Callithrix jacchus: one gene and its partner. The protein of the gene in region 1 purifies or fractionates together with the protein of each later gene. This does not show direct contact. Links are inferred from orthologs where the notes say so. Each region holds a gene or a part of one and is shown in the gene's direction. Other genes may lie near its edges.

Region 1 (10,303 bases):
AGGCTGGTTTCGAACCCCTAGGTTCAAGCGATCCTTCCACCTTGGCCTCCCAAAGTGCTGAGATGACAGGTGTGAGCCACCGTGCCCAGCAAGCGTGGGACTGACTGTGGCCGACTCAGAGGCAGCTCTCTGCCTCCCCCTAGTGGCAGTGCTCTGCCGGTATGCCTCAGGTCCTCCTGAGTGACCACCGGGCAGGTGAGCTCCATGCTTTCCAAATGTCCCTCACTCAGCACCCAGGGCCATCCCCTGGGACTGTGCTATTATCCTGTTTTACAGGTGAGGAAGCTGAGGCTCAAAGAGGTCAGGTGGCTTAGCCAGTTTCACCCATTCATTGAGCCAGCGCTGTGTGATTCCTGGTCTGTGTCAAACCACGCGGAGCCACCTCCCCTTGGGACTGGGAGGGCCTGCAGAGCTGATGCTATCCAGCCTGGTCACTTTTCAGACAGGGAGACGGCTGCCCAGAGGGGAGAAGGGGCTTTCTGGGTCAATTTGCCAGTACTCAACACCATGGCCAGCCTGGCTTCAGATACTTTGCCAGGAGTTAATGCCACAGCCAGAGCGGCATTGGATATTGGAACTGTTCCCAGCTCCACCCAGGCCCTTTTCTCTTCCCTGCCCACAGTCCCCAGGCCACCAAGTCCGTGCCTGTCACTGAAATCGCCACTCAATGCTCAGGAGTCTTGCCTGCCTGACGCGTGAACCCCACGCACTGGGGCTTTGCCCTCGAGCACTCTCCTGGGTCCAGCTCCTCTTTCTCCCAGGGCACCTGAGGTTGCCTCCCCGGCCTGGCTCTTCCTAGGCCCTAGCCCTAACCCTTACCTGCAGAGCCTTTGGGGCCCAAACTGGTGCGTTGCTCCTGGCTGAACAGCCCCTGGAAGCTTCCCGTACTTCTAGACATCACCCACAAGTCCCTTAGCAGGCCCACAGAGCCCACACCAGCCCACAACCACCAGCCCCTTGCCCCGCGGAAGCCTCGGGAAGACTGCACCTCACCCAGAAATGCTCCCGCTCCTCCCGCGTGTCCCCAGCAGGCACTACATGGTGCCCTCTGCATGGGCACATCTGTGGCTGGCCAGCTTCCACGCTCCCCTGGGTAGCGGCTGGGACTGCCTGTCTCACGGCCACAGCCCAACTCCCAGGTGCAGCAGGGGCTCAGCAGACATCTGGTCATGGTTTGGGGTCAGAGGATTCGTGGGTTTACCAGGGCCCCCTCTGCAGCTCAAGGACACTCGTCAGTTCCTCCTGTAGCTCTGGAGACCTGCAGTCCCGGGTTGCTGTGATACTGACATCAGCCTTGAGCTTTCTGCTTTCCCTAGGGCTTTTACCACCTTGTATGTTAAGTACTTGGCTCCAGGATTCCAGAGAAATGTTCTCTGAGACCTGCTGTGTACCCAACATGCTTGAAGACTCTGGAGGTGAGGCGCATGACACTCCTGTAGTAACGAGGCTGCTGGCAGTGCTGCCGACGTGTCCCATGCCAGGGGGGAGGCCTGGTGTGGAGGGCATGCTTGCTATCCTGAGATCAGGTCCAAGAAGCCCTTGCAGGAGGCTGGGGACAGGGAAGGCTATCACCTTTTACAGGGGAGGAAGCAGAGGCTTGGAGAGGCCAGGTACCTTGCCCAAGGCTGTACACCTGGGGGTAGCCGAGGGTTCTGGCTTCTGAAAGCTTGCAGTACAGCTGGACACACAGCATTGGTTCCATTGCTGCAACCATCTTACCTGTGCTCCGCTAGCCAGGTGGACACCCAAAGGGAGATGCCTTTGCCTGTGCTGGGAGGAGGCACTGTGGGACCCATCCACCAGCAGCCCAGAGCAGGAGCACATCTGCCAGAGCAGGGATGCACCTTCAGCCCCATGTTAGCCCTGGGAAGGCCCAGATGGCGGACCCCGGGAAGGAAGGCCCGGATGGTGGGCCCGAGGGAAGGAGGGCCCAGATGGCGCACCCTGGGAAGGGAGGACCGGACGGTGGACCTGGGGAAGGGAGGATCTGGGGAAGGCCTGGACAGTGGACAGGGCTGTCTTGCTCCACACCCCCGGTGAGCAAACATGAGGGTCAGATGTGAGAACATGGGAAGGGGTGGCATCATGGTGGGCATGTTTGCAGATCCTATGCTGTGTGCTTGGCAGGCCTTGCCCATGGAAGCCAGTGGGCTTGAGGCTCCCTCCATGCTGCCCACCATGGCCCTGGGGTCTGGCCTTACCCTCACAGGGTCACTTCCTCTCCTCCATGAGGGTAAGGAGAGGAAGCCTGGCCCACCCTCTGGCCAACCTGGTGGTATGTTAACAGAGACCCCTTATTGTAGGAGCCTGATAAGCAAATGCCACAGAACGAACGCTGTGGACCCTGCCTCCAGATGACTCCGTCCTACCAGCCCTGCTTCCTCCTCCTCCAGGAAGCACTTGGTTAGTTCTTTCCACCTCAGAGGCCTTCACATGTTTTTTTCCCGGACCACTAGGCCAACCCTGCCTCACAGAGACTGCCCCTTCCTCTCCCCAGGCCAAGCCTCCAGCTTCAGTGTTCAGGACTAAGGGTCTGTGTCAGGGGCTGAGCAGTGTCCGGCGGGGGGACGCCTGCCCCTTATACTTCCACGAGACCCCAGACAATAGCCACTGCTATTGTATGCCAGGTAGGAAAGAGGGTCAGAGACTCACGGGGAGGGGCTGTCCTGCGTTCGCTGAGACCACTGCTCCCCCAGGGGCTCCCTGGAGGACTGCTGCTTGTCAGCAAAGCACCAGGTCCACTCGGCAGCCTCCAGCACCTCAGGGCCCTGTAGTAGGAGGCTCTACGCACAGGCTAGGGAGGCTGAGTGCCCGCCTGGAGACCAGCGTGGTCCAGCAGAAATACAACCGCCACCATATACCCAGCTTCACATTTCCTAGCAGCTATGTGGAAAACAAGAGACAGGTGAAATAGATTTTAACAGCATTTTATTTAATACATCCAAAATAGTCATTTCAATGTGCAATAAAAAATGATCCCTTAGATATTTGTACCCTTCACAAGCCAGCACGTAGTTTACACTTAGAGCGCAGCTCAGGCTCACAGCACGCAACAGCAGCCGCTGGACTGGACAGCATGGCTAACGGGAGGAGCTGACCGGACAGAGGCACCAAGGACACACTGTGAAGACACAGGGGTAGAGGATTTCCCGGCACAGCCTGGACACACACGAGCCTGTCCTGTGTGCTCTGTGTAATGCGGTACAGCAGTGGCCACAGAGTTTTGCACCAGAATCATCTGGCCCACCTAGGGGGGCTTCAGGGAGGTGGTGACTTTTGTGTCCAGCCTCCAAGTGTGAGCAGGGGCAGAGACTGGGAGAATGGAGAAACCAGTGGATGCTGCAGCCAAAGGCAATAAAGCTCCGCCAGGAATGGCGATGGCCACCGCGGACAGGACACCTCCCAGCACTGGCAGGAGGCCCCTGCAGCCCGCAGCCATTCACCTGATGTCGACATCCACCCCCACCAGGCCTGATGTCCTGGCACACCCATCAGCAGGACCCATCTCAGCCCTGAAGTGTTTAGGTGCTTATGTTGCTCTCTTTAAGCGGCCAGGACATGATGCTCAGAGACTAGGCACACAGTGTCTCAGGGGCAGGCCGGGCCTTCAGCGGAACAGTCTATAGCCCAGAGGTTGGATGGGCTCAGGTGTAGGGTGCAGGAGCCTATTCCAACACCAGGCCACAGACTGCTGAGAGCTGTGTCCATGCACTCCTAGTATTAGGGAGAGGAGGGGAAGAAAGACGGCCAACCCCTTGCAGGCGATATGGTGCTCCACACCCCTAGGAGCCACCATAAGCTGCTTTCTAACATCCCTGCCCTGGGGCTCCTGCCCTGGGGTCCAGAGACCTCCCATTTTATGCTTAGGGCAGCGTTGGCTTCTGCAGCTATGGCTTCTGCAGGTTAGAGCCCACCTGGGTGGGACCACAGGGTTCTGGAGGAACCTAGAGGGTAGAGTCCTGGGCTCCTGGCTCTTGGGTTCTTTGAACTCAACTTGCACCCACCTCTGCGTTCCCCTCTTTGGGAAGGGCTAATAATGACACCTCCCTAAGGGGAGGCTGCAGAGCGCCTGGACCACCGGAAAGATGGGGGCAGTGAGGCTGGTGTCACTGTCACCTCTCCCAGCAGGGCTGGGGCTGCGCCCTACCACGTGTTCCCTAACTCTGTGTTCAAACAGGTCAGGAATCTGACTCCTGAAAGGCAAATGTTAGCTGAGCAGAGTGGCCCTGGTGCCACGTCAGCTGGGGCGATCCTCTCCCGGCACCGCCTGGGGCTCTGCTAGCGTGGCACAGGTACCAGCCTCCCGCCCCGCTGGGGACCAGGGTGGCTCCCAAAGGGAGGACCTCAGCCGCTGCTGGGAGCTCAGCTTCGGCGATGCACTCGGGCGGGCACTCCCACCACCGACACCTGCCCTCTGGAAGGAGCTGCAGAGGAATGCCACGGCTCTTCCCTGTCCTTGCAAGGTACGGGTGCAGGTGAGTGGGCGGTACACGGATGGCCGCTTCCTCACCCGCCCGGCCTCCCTGGGTTCCTCCGGAAAATGAGGGCACAGATGACAGCGCCCACCAGTTCCCTGCGATCTTCCGCGGGGGGCGGGGGCACGGATGCTGCCTGGCCTGGCCGTCGCAGGGGCAGGAGCACCCATACGCCTCGCCCGCCGCTGGGTCGCTGTGGGCGCCCGAGCGCCCACTCACCACCAACGTGCACTAGGCCAGGGCTGGGACCCTAGGGCCCCGTGGGGCTGGAGGCCGAGGAGACGAAGCCAGAAAACCGCGCCTCCCCGGCAGGACTGCGGGGCCGGGGCCGGGGCCGGGGTGGGCGTGGGAGGACCCGGCGCGGCACAGGCTCGTGGCCGAGCTCGGGGACGTGGAGCCCGCGCGTCCTTCTGGGGGGTCGGCGAAGACCCGGCTCCGCGCGGTGGCCGGGCCGCCCTCCCCTGCTGGGGCCTCTGCGGAGCGAACGGCCTGCAGAGGATGCGTCGGGGAAACCCCAGGACCCTGGACTGGCACTGCCGGTCGCCGTCGACCAACTTCCGGCGCCGCTCAGGGCCCGCGATCGCGCCGTAGCCAGGCAACCAGCGCGCAGGCGCAGTAGGCCCTCGGCGGCCCGCAGCTCCTACCGCCCTCGGCGCATGCGCCGGCGCCGCCGCCGCCTCCTGCCCTCCAGCCTCCCGGCCCAACGGAAGAATGAGAGGAGCGCGCCCGCGTGAGGGCCCTGCGCTTCTCAGTGAGGCAGAGTAGCCGTTCTCGCTGCGTGAGCCTGCTAGCATCGGTCCTGCAGACTGATTTCCCCCTTGTGGCCTTGAGTGAAGAATCCCATCACTTCTCACATCTTAAAACGAAAAAAGACTGGGAGAAAGAGCCAGCGTAACCAAGGCGACGTCCCGGGGCGGCCCCGGCGCGTCCGGCTGGGCAGGTGGCGAGGGGCGGGGCCAAGCGGTGAGGCGGTGGATGGACGCCGGCGGGGGGCGGGGCCACGGGCCGGGAGGGACGGCCGAGGGGCGGGGCCAAAGGGGAGGGAACTACAGGAGACGGCGCGGAAAGACGGGCGGGGGACGGGACGAAAGAATGAGGCGGGGAAGAAGGGACGCCGGCGAGGGCGGGGATAAGGGCGGCGGGACAGAGATGAGGCTGAAGGGGACGGACGCCGGCGAGGGCCGGGGACGAGGCCTGGGCCGTAAAGGGATGAATGAGAATGCAACTGGGCCGCCGAGCCGAGGGGCGGGGACAGGGGCGGGGCGCGCGCTGATGTCGCAAGACGGACACGTCGGCGGCGCGGCGGCCGCGGAGACCGGAGCCGGATGTGCCAAGATGGCTGCGGCAGTTTCCGTGTCTGCGCTCGTCATCAGCGCCGGGTGGGCTTTCACGCGCGGCTCCTGAGCAGCCGATCTCTGCCGCGCGGGTGAGGGGGCGAGCGCGGGACGAGGAAGGCGGAGGCCGGCCAGAGGAGCCAGGCAGTGGAGGCCGGGGCGCGGCGGAGGGGAGGCGGCGAGGCCCAGCCCCTAGCGGGCGGCGCAGCTCGGGTCCCGTCGGAGCCGGGCGAGGAGACTGACGCCGGGGTCCGCAGGCTGGAGCGGGAGGCCGGGCGCGGCAAGGCGCGCCGTGGGACTGAAGGGACTCACGTGGACCCGGCTGGGCCGCGGTGACGCCTGTACCCCCGGCGGGAGGCTTACCCCAGGCACCCCTCGTAAAACCCCAGCTTTTCAAATGAACGTGTCTTGTCCTCACCGGCTGGAAGGTTTCCTTAGCGGTGCTGGTGAAGAGAGATTTACATTTGAACCAAGGAGCAGAGTTGTTTATTTGTAATTTCTTGATAGGGCGATCCGGGTGTTGCAACAGAGGCCGAGGGTTAGAGGAGTGTGTGTGATCCGTCTCGCCCCTTTGTCATGGAAGTGTTACAGTAGAGGCTTCAGAAACATCGGAGCGATTTAAAGTCAGTTTTTGCTGCTTCACTTAAGAACACTTTTAAGTGGCTTGTAGGTTGGGTGTGGATTGTATATTAAGATTGCGTTTTACGTGTATGATGCCGATGTTAACCAAAGAGGTATTTCCCATCCCCCATGTGGCAGTACGAAGCAAACAGAACCGCAGACAGTTCTTCCCGAGTGATACTTTTGCAAGTTTCAGCACAAGGCAGCCTCCCTGCATTTTTCCCCGTCTCCTTTCTTAGGGTTCCGGTGCTGGTATCTGGCAGAAAAGAGGCAAAGTAACGTTTCTTTCTTGTTCCCTGTTCCTCGTTTACTGTTAATAGTGGTTACTACAGTGAGTCTCAGAATTGTACTGAAAGTTTTCTTTGAGGCAGTGGGTACATTTTCTTTCTTTCTTTCTTTTTTCTGCCAAACCTGAGAGGCCATGGTAGTGGGTAAATGTCAATATGATTTCCTCTTCTGTAAATATCCTTGATGAATACCGGGGTGTCCTTTTGGGTCTTGGTCATTTTCAGCAGTACTAGGCTGCTGGCTGCCTCTGCCGCTGGCTTCGTCTTCAACACCCAACTTTATGTGGTTGCGATTCTAACTTAGAAGAGTTGGAGTTTATCATGTCTTTGTGTTAAGCATCCCATTGTCTGACAGGGAGTCACTAGCTGCCACCGTGAGGGAGACTGGGCAGCATGTAAGCTCAGAGGCTTCCTGGAACACCTTTGTTTTCTTTACCTAAAATGTGAGGCCAGTGACAGTGAAGAAGGGTGTGCGCGTGTTTACCTCAGTTCTGTAGCCAGAACTCTACTGAAAAGAGTTTTGCTTAGGTGTGCATATGGTTACAAGGCAATTTAACTGACTAGCTAGGTTTATGAATACTGCATCTTCAAGGTCAGGTGGCCTCTTTGAAACAGTGAAAGACTTAGATGACTTAAATAAGCTAGCTCCCTTGTAGTGGTGACATAGGTGATAGGCAGTGGCATTGCTTTCTCCTGGTGAGTAGAGAAAAAGATAAAAATCAGTTCAGGTCACAAGACTGTTCCAAATGAAATTGGCGAGTTGCTAAAAAGCTCTCATTTAGGGAGCATGAGGGTTAGAATGCTCCTTTGTAGGTAAGTGATAGTGTTTGCTATTTAAAAGGTTCTTAGTTGGGCTGGGCGCACTGTCTCACACCTGTAATCCCAGCATGTCGGGAGGGTGAGGCAAGTGGATCACAAGGTCAGGAGATGGAGACCATTCTGGGTGAAACCCTGTCTCTACTACTATTCAAAAAACTAGCCGAGCATGGTGGCACACGCCTGTAGCCCCAGCTACCCAGGAGGCTGAGGCAGGAGAATCGCTTGAACCCAGGAGGCAGAGGTTGCAGTGAGCCGAGATCATGCCACTGCACTCCAGCCTGGCAACAGAGCAAGACTCCATCTCAGAAAAAAAGAAAGTTCTTAGTCTAGGAGGAGAGCTGCAGAATAATTTTAAGAAAATGTCTACAAGGAAAACATTTAAGTATAAACCAGTGAAATTTAGATTCTGATAAGATTCCCCTGTTAAACAGCAGGTGGGATTAGGACATCCCGAATCTACCATGAGTAGAATCTCATAAGGTTAAACCCATGGTTTTAGGAAAAAAATAATCACATTGATTCTCTCATTTGGTAATAAAAACACATTGCCGAAAGAGTCATGGCTGCTTCGAGCCACTCACTCGAATGCCCAGTTCTGCTGTCATAGCAGCAGCCGAGGAATAAAGCTTGAGGTCCGAGGATCGATCCAAGATGGCCGACCACTAACAGCTCAGGATTGTAGCTCCCAGTGAAAGCCCAGAGAATGAGACGACGCCACACTTTTAGACAAATTTTCGTCACTCACTGATCAGCTGATTCCCAGTGGAGGAGCCCCACGGGTCGCCAGCGCGACTCTTGTGGCCGCCGCAGCGGTTTTGCCGGCGTCTCGGTGCCGCAGCTCTTCATGCAGAGCCAACGGGACTGCTTCCCCTACTGACTGGAGTTTGGAGCTCCGGGAAGTCAGAGCCGCTTGTTGCGGACTCAAGAGGGAAGCCAGACCAGAGATTCCCGGGCAGAAGAGCACCATCAGTCTTACCGCTGCTATTTAGGCTGCCACAGTGGGTTGCTCGGATCCCAACACTGGGAATCAATAAGTCAGACGTCGACTCAGAAAACTAATTAGAAAGGCGGTTCATCTACAATGAAGGGAAAAAAACAGCCTAAGAAGGCCGAGTATACTCAAGGTCAGAACCCATCAGCAACGGAACAAGCCCTGATGGAAAAGGACTCATCAGCAACCGAACAAGCCCTGATGGAGAAGGACTCATCAGTAACGGAACAAGCCCTGATGGAAAAGGACTGTGTTCCATTATCTGAAGTAGGCTTTAAAAGGTGGATGATAAGAAACTTCTGGGAGTTAAAGGAACTCGTTCTAACCCAATGTAAAGAAACTAAGAACTTGGAAAAAAGGTTCGATGAAATGTTGAAAAGAATAGACAATATAGAGAGGAATACAAATGAACTTATGGAGTTGAAAAATACAACACGAGAACTTAGTGAAAAATGTACAAGCTTAAACAGCCGAATGGATCAAGCAGAAGAAAGGGTATCAGAGGTCGAAGATCAACTTAATGAAACAAAACAACAAGACAAGAATAGAGAAAAAAGGATAAAAAGGAATGAGCAAAGTCTCCAAGCAATATGGGACTATGTGAAAAGACCTAATATACGCTTGATTGGTGTACCTGAATGTGACGGAGAGAATGAAGTCAAGCTGGAAAATACTCTCCAGGACATTATCCAGGAAAATTTTCCTAATTTAGCAAAGCAGGACACTATTCAACCCCAGGCAATACAGAGAACACCACAAAGATATTCCTCAAGAAGACCAACCCCAAGGCACATAATCGTTAGATTCACCAAGATCGAAACGAAGGAGAAAATATTAAGGGCAGCCAGAGAGAAAGATCAAGTTACCCATAAAGGTAAGCCTATTAGGCTTACAGCAGATCTCTCAATGGAAACCCTACAAGCTAGAAGAGAGTGGGGGCCAATATTCAATATACTTAATCAACAGAACTTTCAGCCCAGAATTTCATATCCTGCCAATTTAAGCTTTACATTTGAAGGAAAAATAAAATTTTTTAGGAACAAGCAAGTACTCAGAGATTTTATTACCACCAGGCCTGCTTTACAAGAACTTCTAAAAGAAGCACTATACACAGAAAGGAACAACCAGTATGACCCTTTCTAAAAATACACCAAAAAGTAAAGAGTATTAACATAAAGAAGAATTTTTATCGACGAAAGGACAAAATAGCCAGTTAATATCAAACGGCAGCAACCCTAAATTTAAATCGACCAAATCTCCCAATCAAAAGATACAGACAAAATCTAACGGTATATCCAAAGATATACATAGACTCAAAATAAAGGGTTGGAAAAAAAAAAAAACGTACCAACCAAATGGAGAGCAAAAATAAATAAATAAAAAGCAGGAGTTGCAATTTTCACATTTGACAAAATAGATTTCAAAGCTACAAGGATAAAAGGATTAATGTAATAATAAGAGATCTTAACACCCAGATACATAAGACCCATAATGAGATTCAGATTCAACGAGACAGAAAATTGATAACGATATCCAGGACTGGAACTAAGATCCAGAACAAATAAACTCAATAGAGCTCTCCATTTTAAACACACAAAATATACATTATCCACAAAATCTGACGATATATCTAAAGATATACAAAGACTCAAAACAAGGGGATGGAAAAAAACCAACCAAATGGAGAGCAAAAATAAATAAATAAAAAACAGGAGTTGCAATTCTCACACTTAATAAAATAGATTTCAAAGCTACAAGGATGCAAGGGTAAAAGGA
Region 2 (10,203 bases), on another chromosome or scaffold:
TGACGCTATAAACCAAATTCTTCTTAGAACCAGTTTGAACATCCTTCCTGGTTGTAGAGATTAATTAAACTCAATGAATGAGTTAAGTAACATCTTTGGTACATAGTCATTTCATATTTGCATGAAGGACATAATTTTACCTTTTCAAACACTTTATGAAGCTTTCACCAACATCCCAGTGGATTCCCCAGACAGAACCAGGTAAACCACATTACTGAAGGAACACTCCACGGGGCTGATAAGCCCAAGCACATTTTTACCTGGCTCCCAGAGTGAACACCAAGTAGGAATAGTACCACAGCGTTGCTGACTTTCTCTCTAGGTTTCTTCCTCCTTCCTATTCATTTGGGTTTTATTTCTGATTTGCCCACAGTTGGTGGATTTTTCCCCATTCATGGCAACAACAATTAGGAACTTGCGGGAAACCCCGTTGCTCCCTTTTCCCTGGCTGGCAGCGCGGAGGCCACACAGTGCTTGGAGTTACTGCAAAAGACGTGAACCAGCAGGACTTCGTCGGAGCGAGCTCTGGCAGCCTTTCTCAAAAAGTCCGGGAAGCTGAAAGTCCGGGAATGGGTGGCCACCGTCAAGCTGGCCAAGCACAAAGAGCTTGCTCCCTACGATGAGAACTGGTTCTACACACGAGCTGCTTCCACAACCCAGTACCTGATGGCTCCAGGACCAAGATCTACGTGGGACTGGCCACAGCGACCGGACACACAGCCCAGCAAGCGCCTACGCGCCTCCACGCTCACCACCCGCCACACCCCTCCGCCCAGCCCCTTCCACACGCTGGCGCCTTCTTCCGGCAGCCTTAGTTTCCTCCGGCTGGTGCCCCTCCCTTTTCCGGGAGGATACGTCATCATTCTCACATTCCGGTAGCTAAGGCGATCAGCCGGACTTCCCGCTGAGAGGAGCGGATGTCATATTGTATCAGGGCGAACCTCTGATGATCGCTGGCTGAGGTTAGGCAACGGGGCGGCAGTCGCTGGAGTTTTCTGAAGCAGAAACGTTTAGGCCTGGTGAAACGTGTTCCGAGGAACTGTGGTTTTGAAGTGCGAGACACAGTTGTTTTGCCCTGTTCCAAGATGGTGGCTGGGCGTTTCCGAATCGCTCGCTTCCGCCCGTCCGTCGGAGAAGCGCTCTTTGATTGGCCAGTGGACAGCGCCATGGCGTGACGCGCTGGGGCTGGCCAATCGGTTGAGAGCTGAGCTGGACTTGGCGGTGGGAGTCGGCACCGTGCTGTTGCAGCTGTGAGTGAGGACGAATCTAGCCAAGTGAGCGGCTCCGGCCGGGTGAGTGGGGCGCATAGGGGACGGAGGGCGAGGGCACGGGTATGAGTCTCTGCCAGAGGTGAGGTGGGCGGCTTCTGGAATGAGGATTCTTCTCCGCAGCTTGGGGTAGCGGGGATAATCGATGGTCCAATAATCCGCTGAGGGTCTCGCGCCAGGCCTGGATTAATTTCTGGCTCCAGGTTCCCCAGAATTGCGGGGTCCGCACAGCTGAAAGGACCAATTCTGGGTTTTATAGTTGTGAAACTCAAGACTCAGACAAATGAAACGACTTTTGCTTCATGACAGCTGGAACTAGAACCCAGTTCCTTGGACTCCCTTCAAGGATTAAACCTAATTTTTGTATACAGATGGTCACTGCGTCCTGAGAAGTTTTGAGTTGGCGAGATGAGAGTGGTTCAGAATTTTTGGTGGATTCTCCTACTGTTATTTTTCCAGGACTTTCATTCATTCACTAATTCATATTTTCAGTTATTTACCTCTTCAGATGCCCTCCACTTTGATAATTTGGTACAAGCCATGGACCCAACTCCCTAGAAAAAGGCGCACATTCCCTCATGCCCACAACTTCAGAGGATTCGTGCACCTTCTGTAGTCCCCTTTGGATTATGTGCCCATGGCTAAGAATCCGTGACCTAGAAGGATGAGAGAAACCGGCAGTGGGAAAAGGAGGGAGCAGGTCTTAGGCTGTACATACCTGAAGACCATTAGATTGAGCCAGTACCTTTTTTTTTGAGATGGAGTCTCGGTCTGTCGCCCAGGCTGGAGTGCAGTTGAGTTGCAACCTCCGCCTCCCGGTTCAATCAGTTCTCCCTGCCTCAGCCTCCCAAGTGGCCGGGATTGCAGGCGTCCGCCACCACGCCCAGCTAATTTTTGTATTTTTAGTAGAGACGGCGTTTTGCCGTGTTGGCCAGGCTGGTCCGGAACTTCTGACCTTGTGATCCGCCTGCCTCGGCCTTCCAAAGTGCTAGGATTACAGATTTGAGCCACCACGCCTGGCCTTGACCACAGTTTTTCAAGGCATGAACATAAGCAACCGTGGCGAGGAAAGAGGTTCTGGTGAGACTCAGTGTAATAGTAATTTTGGTAATACTAAGTAGAAATATTTTAGCTCAGAACTGGTTCCCATTGTGAACCAAACTTGGAAGATCAGGATCCAGCTCTTTTCTCCAAAGTTAACAAAGTGCAGAAGGGAATGAGCACACCCCCACCACTGGAAAAAAAATCACTTGGAATATAAAATTTAACAGCAAGAAAAGGAGATTAGAGAGGAAGATAGTTGGATGCTGAAACAGGGTTCAAGAGTTACCCTTGGGCACGGGGTTAAAATTGGCTTGACTGATAGACTGTGAGATCTGTGAGGAGGTTTGAAGTAGTAGTATTTAACTACATATAGTTTGGAGATGATTAGGTGATTATAAACCTCTTAATCCTTCGATTTATTTTTAAGTGCTTGAGAGGAGAGTTGAGAAAGGAGCAGTGTTCAATGATAACTGTACAGTTAACTGACTTTTGGGTATCAGAGGGAAGGGAAATACTGTCATTCTACAGCAACAAGTTCTTTCAGAATATTTAAGAAACACTGTTAGATGGTCCAGGTGCAGTGGCTCACACCTGTAATCCCAGCACTTTGGGAGGCCAAGGCCGGTAGATCACCTGAGGTCAGGAGTTTGAGACCAGCCTGGCTAACATGGTAAAACCCCATCTCTACTAAAAATACAAAAAATTAGCTGGGTGTGGTGGTGGGTACTCAAAATCCCACTTACTTGAAAGGCTGAGGCAGGAGAATCGCTTGAACCCAAGAGATGGAGGCTGCAGCAAGCTGAGATTGAAGGAAAAAAAAAAGAAAGAAGAACTGTGATACATGACCCATCTTTTTTTTTTTGACATTTAGTTCAGAATTTCACGTACCATTAAGGTCATTAAAGTTGTATCTTCAGTTCCCTTCTAGACTATGGCGACTTACCTGGAGTTCATCCAGCAGAATGAAGAACGAGATGGTGTGCGCTTTAGTTGGAATGTGTGGCCTTCCAGCCGGCTAGAGGCCACAAGAATGGTTGTACCCCTGGCTTGTCTCCTTACTCCATTGAAAGAACGTCCAGACCTACCTCCTGTACAATATGAACCTGTGCTTTGCAGCAGGCCAACTTGTAAAGCTGTTCTCAACCCACTTTGGTATGGATTCTTTTGAAACTGGTAAAACTGATAAATATAATATATAATGACTTGTATGTGATGCTCATGAAAGTCATCGATTTCTGATGAGTAGTAGATGGTAAGATTCTTAAGGTGAGTATTAGGTGGTGAATATTTGTAGAAATTTCCCTGGCCTGGTAATTCCAGATAAAATTGGAATCTTAGAGGAATGAGGTAGAGGGAGGGGATTTGTAATTCACTTTTTTTTGCTGATAATCAGTTTGCTTTTGACTTAACTATAGACTTTATTGATACCTCTTAAAGTAATTTCCTGAAAGAATTCAAAAGCTTTAGACTGGCTTCTCATGCTTCCCTTAATCATTGATGCTGTATGGCAGGGAGACATAATAGGCAGAAGAAATTTTAACTCAACAGTTTGTTAAGTGTAATTTTTTGTGTGTGCTTGAGGTAGTGACCTAAAGAACTTCTTTTAAATGTAGGCATTATTTGAAATAATTTTTAAACAGGTAGAGAGTGTCATAAAATTTTTATATGAAGGAACATTTTTTACTTCATCCCCATTGCTTTTATGTAATATGCCCATCTATGAGTGCTGCTGCTCTGATTTTAAAATCATAGCCACTGGTTATTCATTTTCTAAATGTAGAAAGTGTGGGGAAAGTAACTGAAGCATTATCCTGAACCAATTTGAGGAAGTGAAATGTGCTTGCCCAACTTTTCTTTTTTTTGAGATGGAGTCTCGCTCTGTTGCTCAGGCTTGAGTGCAGTGCTGCAGTCTCAGCTCACTGCAACCTCTGTCTCCCGGGTTCAAGCGATTCTTGCCTCAGCCTCCTAAGTAGCTGGGATTACAGGTACATGCCGCCACACCCGGCTAATTTTTGTATTTTTAGTAGAGACGGGATTTCACCATGTTGATCAGGCTGGTCTTGAACTACTGACCTTGTGATCTGCCTGCCTTGGCCTCCCAAAGTGTTGGAAATAGAGGTGTGAGCCACCATGCTCGGCTCCAACTTTTCTTCAAGTGGGCTAAGTTAGGTTAAAATCTAGAAACATTTTCCTGTGTGTGAAACATGCTTTTAGTGTTGGAATTTAGTAGTTTCACATAGCTAGACTATAAAGATGTTAGAAAAAAACCATGCAGAATGCATTAAGATGAAAGGTAAAAGGTAAATAAAATAACCTATAATTTACATAAATTAAAAAATCAGGAAATTAGAAAAGAGAAAAATAGATAGTTCTTCACTGTGGCTGTTTGATGAAAATTTTGGTGTACTTAGCCACAATTCTCAAATTAGCTGGGTATGGTGGTGGACACCTGTAATCTCAGGTACTTTGGGAGGCTAAGGTAGGAAAATCACTTGAACCTGGGAGGTGGAGGTTGCAGTGAGCCTAGATCGCGCCGTTGCTCTTCAGCACACATAGAAACACTTATTTGTGTGGTGTACTGAACTTGAAATTTATAAATAAATGCTTTCTACCTTAAAAATAAAAGTGGTACCTACTTATAATATGTATCTTTCTCACAGTCAGGTTGATTATCGAGCAAAACTTTGGGCCTGTAATTTCTGTTTTCAAAGAAATCAGGTATGTGAATTATTTTTTAAAATATGTTATATGTTTTATTTTAGTTGTATGAAAAAAATTAAGTGAGGTTGAATTTGTCTTTACATTGGCAGTCAGCAGTTTCTGCTGAACTCAAGGTGATAGCTTTTATTAAGCACGACATTGGATTTGAACATTTGTGGCTTATTGTGTTGAATGGTTTTCTTCTTTGAGTCCTTGTAATTTGCTTGGGGGTTGGGGACATGTGTTGAATTTCTTTTCTTACACGTTTTCTGCAGTCAGTGAATCTGTTGCCCTTAGAAAGCACCTGTTCATAATTCTTTTGACTTCAGTATATTCTAACTGGATAGTGTATATTACTGAATTTCCGTTTTCTGATCTTTCTAACTTTTAGGATCCAAGTATCAGTGTTAGCTTCTTTTGATTTGAAACTTTAAAAACTGCCAAACTAGAAAGCGCTAACAAATCACAAGAGAGACTTCTCTCTGAAAGTAACTGTGCTTGGCCAAGAGCAGTGGCTCACGCCTGTAATCCCATCACTTTGGGAGGCTGAGGCGGGTGGATCACATAATGTCAGGAGTTCAAGACCAGCCTGGTCAACATGGTGAAACCCCGTCTCAACTAAAAATTTTGTAAAAAAAATTAGCTGGGCGTGGTGGCGGGCATCAGCTACTTCAGAAGGCTGAGGTAGGAAAATCGCTTGAATCCGGGAAGTGGAAGTTGCAGTGAGCTGAGATCACACCATTGCACTGGAGCCTGGGCGACGAGCAAAACTCTGTTTAAAAAAAAAAAAAAGTAACTGTTCCTATATTGAAAATGTTCTAAAATGGATTGTGATGATTGTTGCACAACTGTACATTGACTAAAAACCATTGACTTGTGCACTTAAAATGAGTGAATTTTGTGTTATGTAAACTATACCTCAATAAAGTTGTTAGAAAAAAGTTAATTGTGTCCAGCATAGTGTATATTGTTCTAACAGATCTTAAGCTCTTCACATGCATTTGTTTATATATTTGATCATAATTAAAATTACTCTCATTCTCAGATACAACACATAAGTCTAGTGATGAGGAGAACAGTGTATAATTGATGACTGACTATAGGTTCAGAAAGTGTAAGCAGATGTCACCAAAATGTATCTTCATAAGAGATTCAGAAGTGTATGCAAATCTTAAAAGCATTTCTGCTCCCTTTTACCTTCGGGATTAATGTCTCTGTTTAATATAACTTATTATAAACATTCTAAGGCAGGGTAGCATTGTGGCTAAAGAGCCAGGCTGGAGTGCAGTGGTGCAATCATGGCTCATTGCAGCCTCAGCCTCCTGGGCTCAAATGATCCTCCCACCTCAGCTTTTGAGTAGCTGGGACTACAGGTGTGAGCCACCACACCCAACTAATTTTTTTACTTCTTGTGGAGAGAAGGTCTCATAGTGTTGCCCAAGCTGGTTTTGAGCTCCTGGGCTCAAGTGATCCTCTCATCTCAGCATCATTATCATTTTTATATGTGGGAAATAAAAAGTGTAATGTAGATGTGCCGGCCCTAATAGAACTGTTTCCTTCTTTTCAGTTTCCTCCAGCTTATGGAGGCATATCTGAGGTGAACCAGCCTGCTGAATTGATGCCCCAATTTTCTACAATTGAGTACATGATACAGGTAATTTCTTTGCTGTGCATTTAATGAGCAATATTAAATATTGGTTTCTCTTGAAATCTTTTGTCTTCCATGTCTCTTACCTGGGTAGGGGACTTAAAGCTGTGAGGGCAGCACAATCCTCACTGTTAGGTTTGATGTGTATGCATCTGCTGGCATTGCTCTCAAGTCTTGATATTATAGAAGGCTACTAAAAAGGTAGAACTGATTAAATTCCAAACCTGTCCACTGTAGTCTTCTCAATCTTGGTAGATGGTACTCTATCATCTAGTATTTTAGCTTCAAAACCTTAGACTCATCCTTCACTTCTCTCTTTCCCATTCTATATCTAATCCACCGGAAACCAGAATCCATCCGCTTCCCTCTCTCTAGTACTAACTGCTTCTAATTGTTCTCCCTGATGTTGTACCATTGCCTATTTGTATATTATTCTTCACCCAGCAGCCGGAGTAACTCTTTAAAAACATAAATCATATACTTCTCTGTAAAGAAAACCTCAGTGGTGAAAATGGCTTTCCTTTACCCAGGGTAAAAGACAGTTTTCAAAAAGCCTTGCATGTTACCACTCCATCCTCAGTGTTTGCTAGTGTCCTTGATCAACCCAGTGGGCCCCCTTGACTCTCCTCAAATATGTGAACACTCCTGCCTGAGGACCTCTGCTGTAGCTTTTCGCTGAGGCTGGAGCTCTCCCCTGTATCTGTTATGTTTCTTCCCTCTCCTCCCTCAGGCTTTGCTCAACATTACTTTCTTTTTCTTTCTTTTTTTGAGACAGTCTTGCTCTGTCACCCAGGCTGGAGGACAGTGTCATGATCTCAGCTTACTGAAACCTCTGCTTCCTATGGTCAAGCAATTCTCTTGCCTCAGCCTCCCGAGTAGCTGGGATTACAGGTGTACCTCAACATGCCTGGCTAATTTCTGTATTTTTAGTAGAAACAGGGATTCACCATGTTGGCCAGGCTGGCGTTGAACTCCTGACTTGGTGATCTGCCCTCCTCGGTCTCCCAAAGTGCTGGGATTATAGGCGTGAGCCACCACACCCGGCCCTCTTTTCCTTTTTTTTAAGATGGGGTCTTACTCTGTCGTCCAGGCTGGTATGCAGTGGCACAACTATAGCTTACTGCAGCCTCAAATTCCTGAGCTCAAGAGGTCTTCCTGCCTCCTCCTCCTGAGAGCTGGGAACACAGCCATGTGCCGTCATGCCCAACTAATTTTTAATTTTTTTTACTTTTTTTCTTTTGTTAGAGATGGGGTCTCGCCATGTTGCCAGGCTTGTCTTGAACTCCTGGGCATAAGCAGTCCTCCCACCTTAGCCTCCCAAAGTGCTGGGATTACAGGCATGAGCCCGGCTCATATGCTGCTCTCTAAATGAGGCTGCCTAACCTCTCCGTTTAACAGTTGACTCTGCCCTCTTCCTCTCCTCCTGGCATTTGCATTCCCCCTTAACCTCTCCATTACAGAAAGTTTGCTCCTCGAGGCAGCAAGAAGTCTTTGTTCTTTCTGTTCACTGTGTGTCCCAGGACCTGGAACAATGTCTGGCATGTAGGAAGTATTAAAAAAATAGTTGAATACATTGTTGGATGCAGATAGTTTCTGTGTTTAGTTTGATTTAATAGCATCTGAGTCATTTAATGAGTTCGAGCTTTGTGTAGATGTCCTTATTTCCTAAAACTAGATAAAGACTTATGATTTTCATACCTAATTTGCTTTAAAAAGTGCTCGTTAAGTCTATTTGCATATTGATCATTATGCTGTTTTTCTTTGCCCAAAGCGAGGTGCTCAGTCCCCTCTGATCTTTCTCTATGTGGTTGACACATGCCTGGAAGAAGATGACCTTCAAGCCCTCAAAGAGTCCCTGCAGATGTCATTGAGTCTTCTTCCTCCAGATGCTCTGGTGGGTCTGATCACATTTGGAAGGATGGTGCAGGTTCATGAACTAAGCTGTGAAGGAATCTCCAAAAGTTACGTCTTCCGAGGGACCAAGGATTTAACTGCAAAGCAGATACAGGTTTGAACCTTACCTTACTTGTACAGGAGCAGGAGCAAGGACCTTTTTCTTTCCTCTTTTTTCTTTTAAAGAGACTGGGCTCTCGCTTTGTAGCCCAGGCTGGAGTTCAGTGGTGCGATGGTGGCTCACTGTAGTCTTGAATTCCTAGGCTCAAGCCATTGGCCCACCTCAGCCTCCTGAGCAGGTGGGACTATAGGCATGTACCACCACACCCAGCTGAGGACATTTCTTAAGAATTAGTCATTCACTTTTAGTGTCATTGTCAGTGAATCTTTTTGGCTTTTTTTAAAGGATATGTTGGGCCTGACAAAGCCAGCCACGCCCATGCAGCAAGCACGACCTGCGCAACCACAGGAGCACCCTTCTGTTTCAAGCAGGTGAGATCCCAACATGGAGTATTCCACATACTGTGGTGGACATGCAGATCATCCATGGGACTAAGGGAAGAAAAATATTAGAACTTTTATTTTCTTCTTCTTAGGAGAAAAGATAAATGATTAAGCCTAATCAGTAGTCAGAGTTTTATCAAAAAGGTTTTGAGACCACTGTGCTCAATTGCTGTGCTTAGACATTCCACATCTGATGTCCTTTTTGATGCTTAAGGAAAACTGGAAAACCTGAAAAGACTTCTTTCATGTGTTTCAAACATACTTATGACCAGGTATTCACTTCATTTGGCCCGTTGAGTGCCTGGGGCTGCCCTAGACTGGGCTAAAAGCTTGATAAAATGCATTGCCTGATGAGCTGAAGACAGCCTCTGAACTCTCAGGGCTCAAGAGAAGCACAGATTAGAATGGTGAGGAGTGATGAAGACTGTCCACATAAATGGACCTCACGTCGACTGAGCTCGTGTTAGGCACATTCTTAGGATTTCTTTGCTGCCTATAATTTAATTAGACTGAATTGCTTTTTTTCAAGATAATCTTTCTCCATGTAACATGTATCAGTTTCTAAGTACTGGGCTTTATATTCCTCAATAAAACTGCTTTAAATTGTTTTGTGTTAGTAGAGAGATAGCTTTGAAGAAAAAAATTACCAGTCATTTTCTACTATGAGTAATTATCTTGAAGAGCAGTGACTGTGTGGCACCTAGTGTTCAGAACCAGAGTACTTTATTCAATGTGGGTTGATGTGTCTCTTCAAAATCGTGTAGATTTCTGCAGCCTGTTCACAAGATTGACATGAACCTCACTGATCTTCTTGGGGAACTACAGAGGGACCCATGGCCAGTAACTCAGGGGAAGAGACCTTTGCGATCCACTGGTGTTGCTTTGTCCATTGCTGTTGGCTTGCTGGAGGTAATTTGTAATTTACCAGGACCTCTCAAATCATACAGACTTGCTCTCAGAAAATATATTTGTTGGCTTTGTTTGAAAATCACTTGTGATCTAAGGCAACCGTCTGTGTTAACCTATCAGAAAGCATTTCTGGCATCATTGTTATTCACTTTGAGGGAGCCCCTCAAAATTTTGAAAATGCTAAAAGTTTTTGTGAAAACCCAAGACAACTAGAGCAATGGGGAGTACTCAGAGTGA

Evidence for each region.
Region 2: the proteins of SEC16A (region 1) and SEC23B purify together in Homo sapiens (affinity purification with mass spectrometry; 3 studies listed by BioGRID and IntAct, with this or other methods). This does not show direct contact. The link is inferred for Callithrix jacchus from reciprocal best matches to the Homo sapiens genes SEC16A and SEC23B.

What each region holds. Positions count from the first base shown.
Region 1 is NC_133502.1:184,949,967-184,960,269, reverse strand, and holds the start of SEC16A (protein transport protein Sec16A), read left to right. Parts: upstream 1-5,785; 5' UTR 5,786-5,800; coding exon 5,801-5,854; exon of another isoform or gene 5,855-5,901; intron 5,902-10,303. UniProt on the Homo sapiens protein: Acts as a molecular scaffold that plays a key role in the organization of the endoplasmic reticulum exit sites (ERES), also known as transitional endoplasmic reticulum (tER).
Region 2 is NC_133506.1:25,509,590-25,519,792, forward strand, and holds the start of SEC23B (protein transport protein Sec23B), read left to right. Parts: upstream 1-1,199; 5' UTR 1,200-1,292; intron 1,293-3,229; 5' UTR 3,230-3,243; coding exon 3,244-3,464; intron 3,465-4,972; coding exon 4,973-5,030; intron 5,031-6,579; coding exon 6,580-6,666; intron 6,667-8,431; coding exon 8,432-8,668; intron 8,669-8,959; coding exon 8,960-9,045; intron 9,046-9,821; coding exon 9,822-9,966; intron 9,967-10,203. UniProt on the Homo sapiens protein: Component of the coat protein complex II (COPII) which promotes the formation of transport vesicles from the endoplasmic reticulum (ER).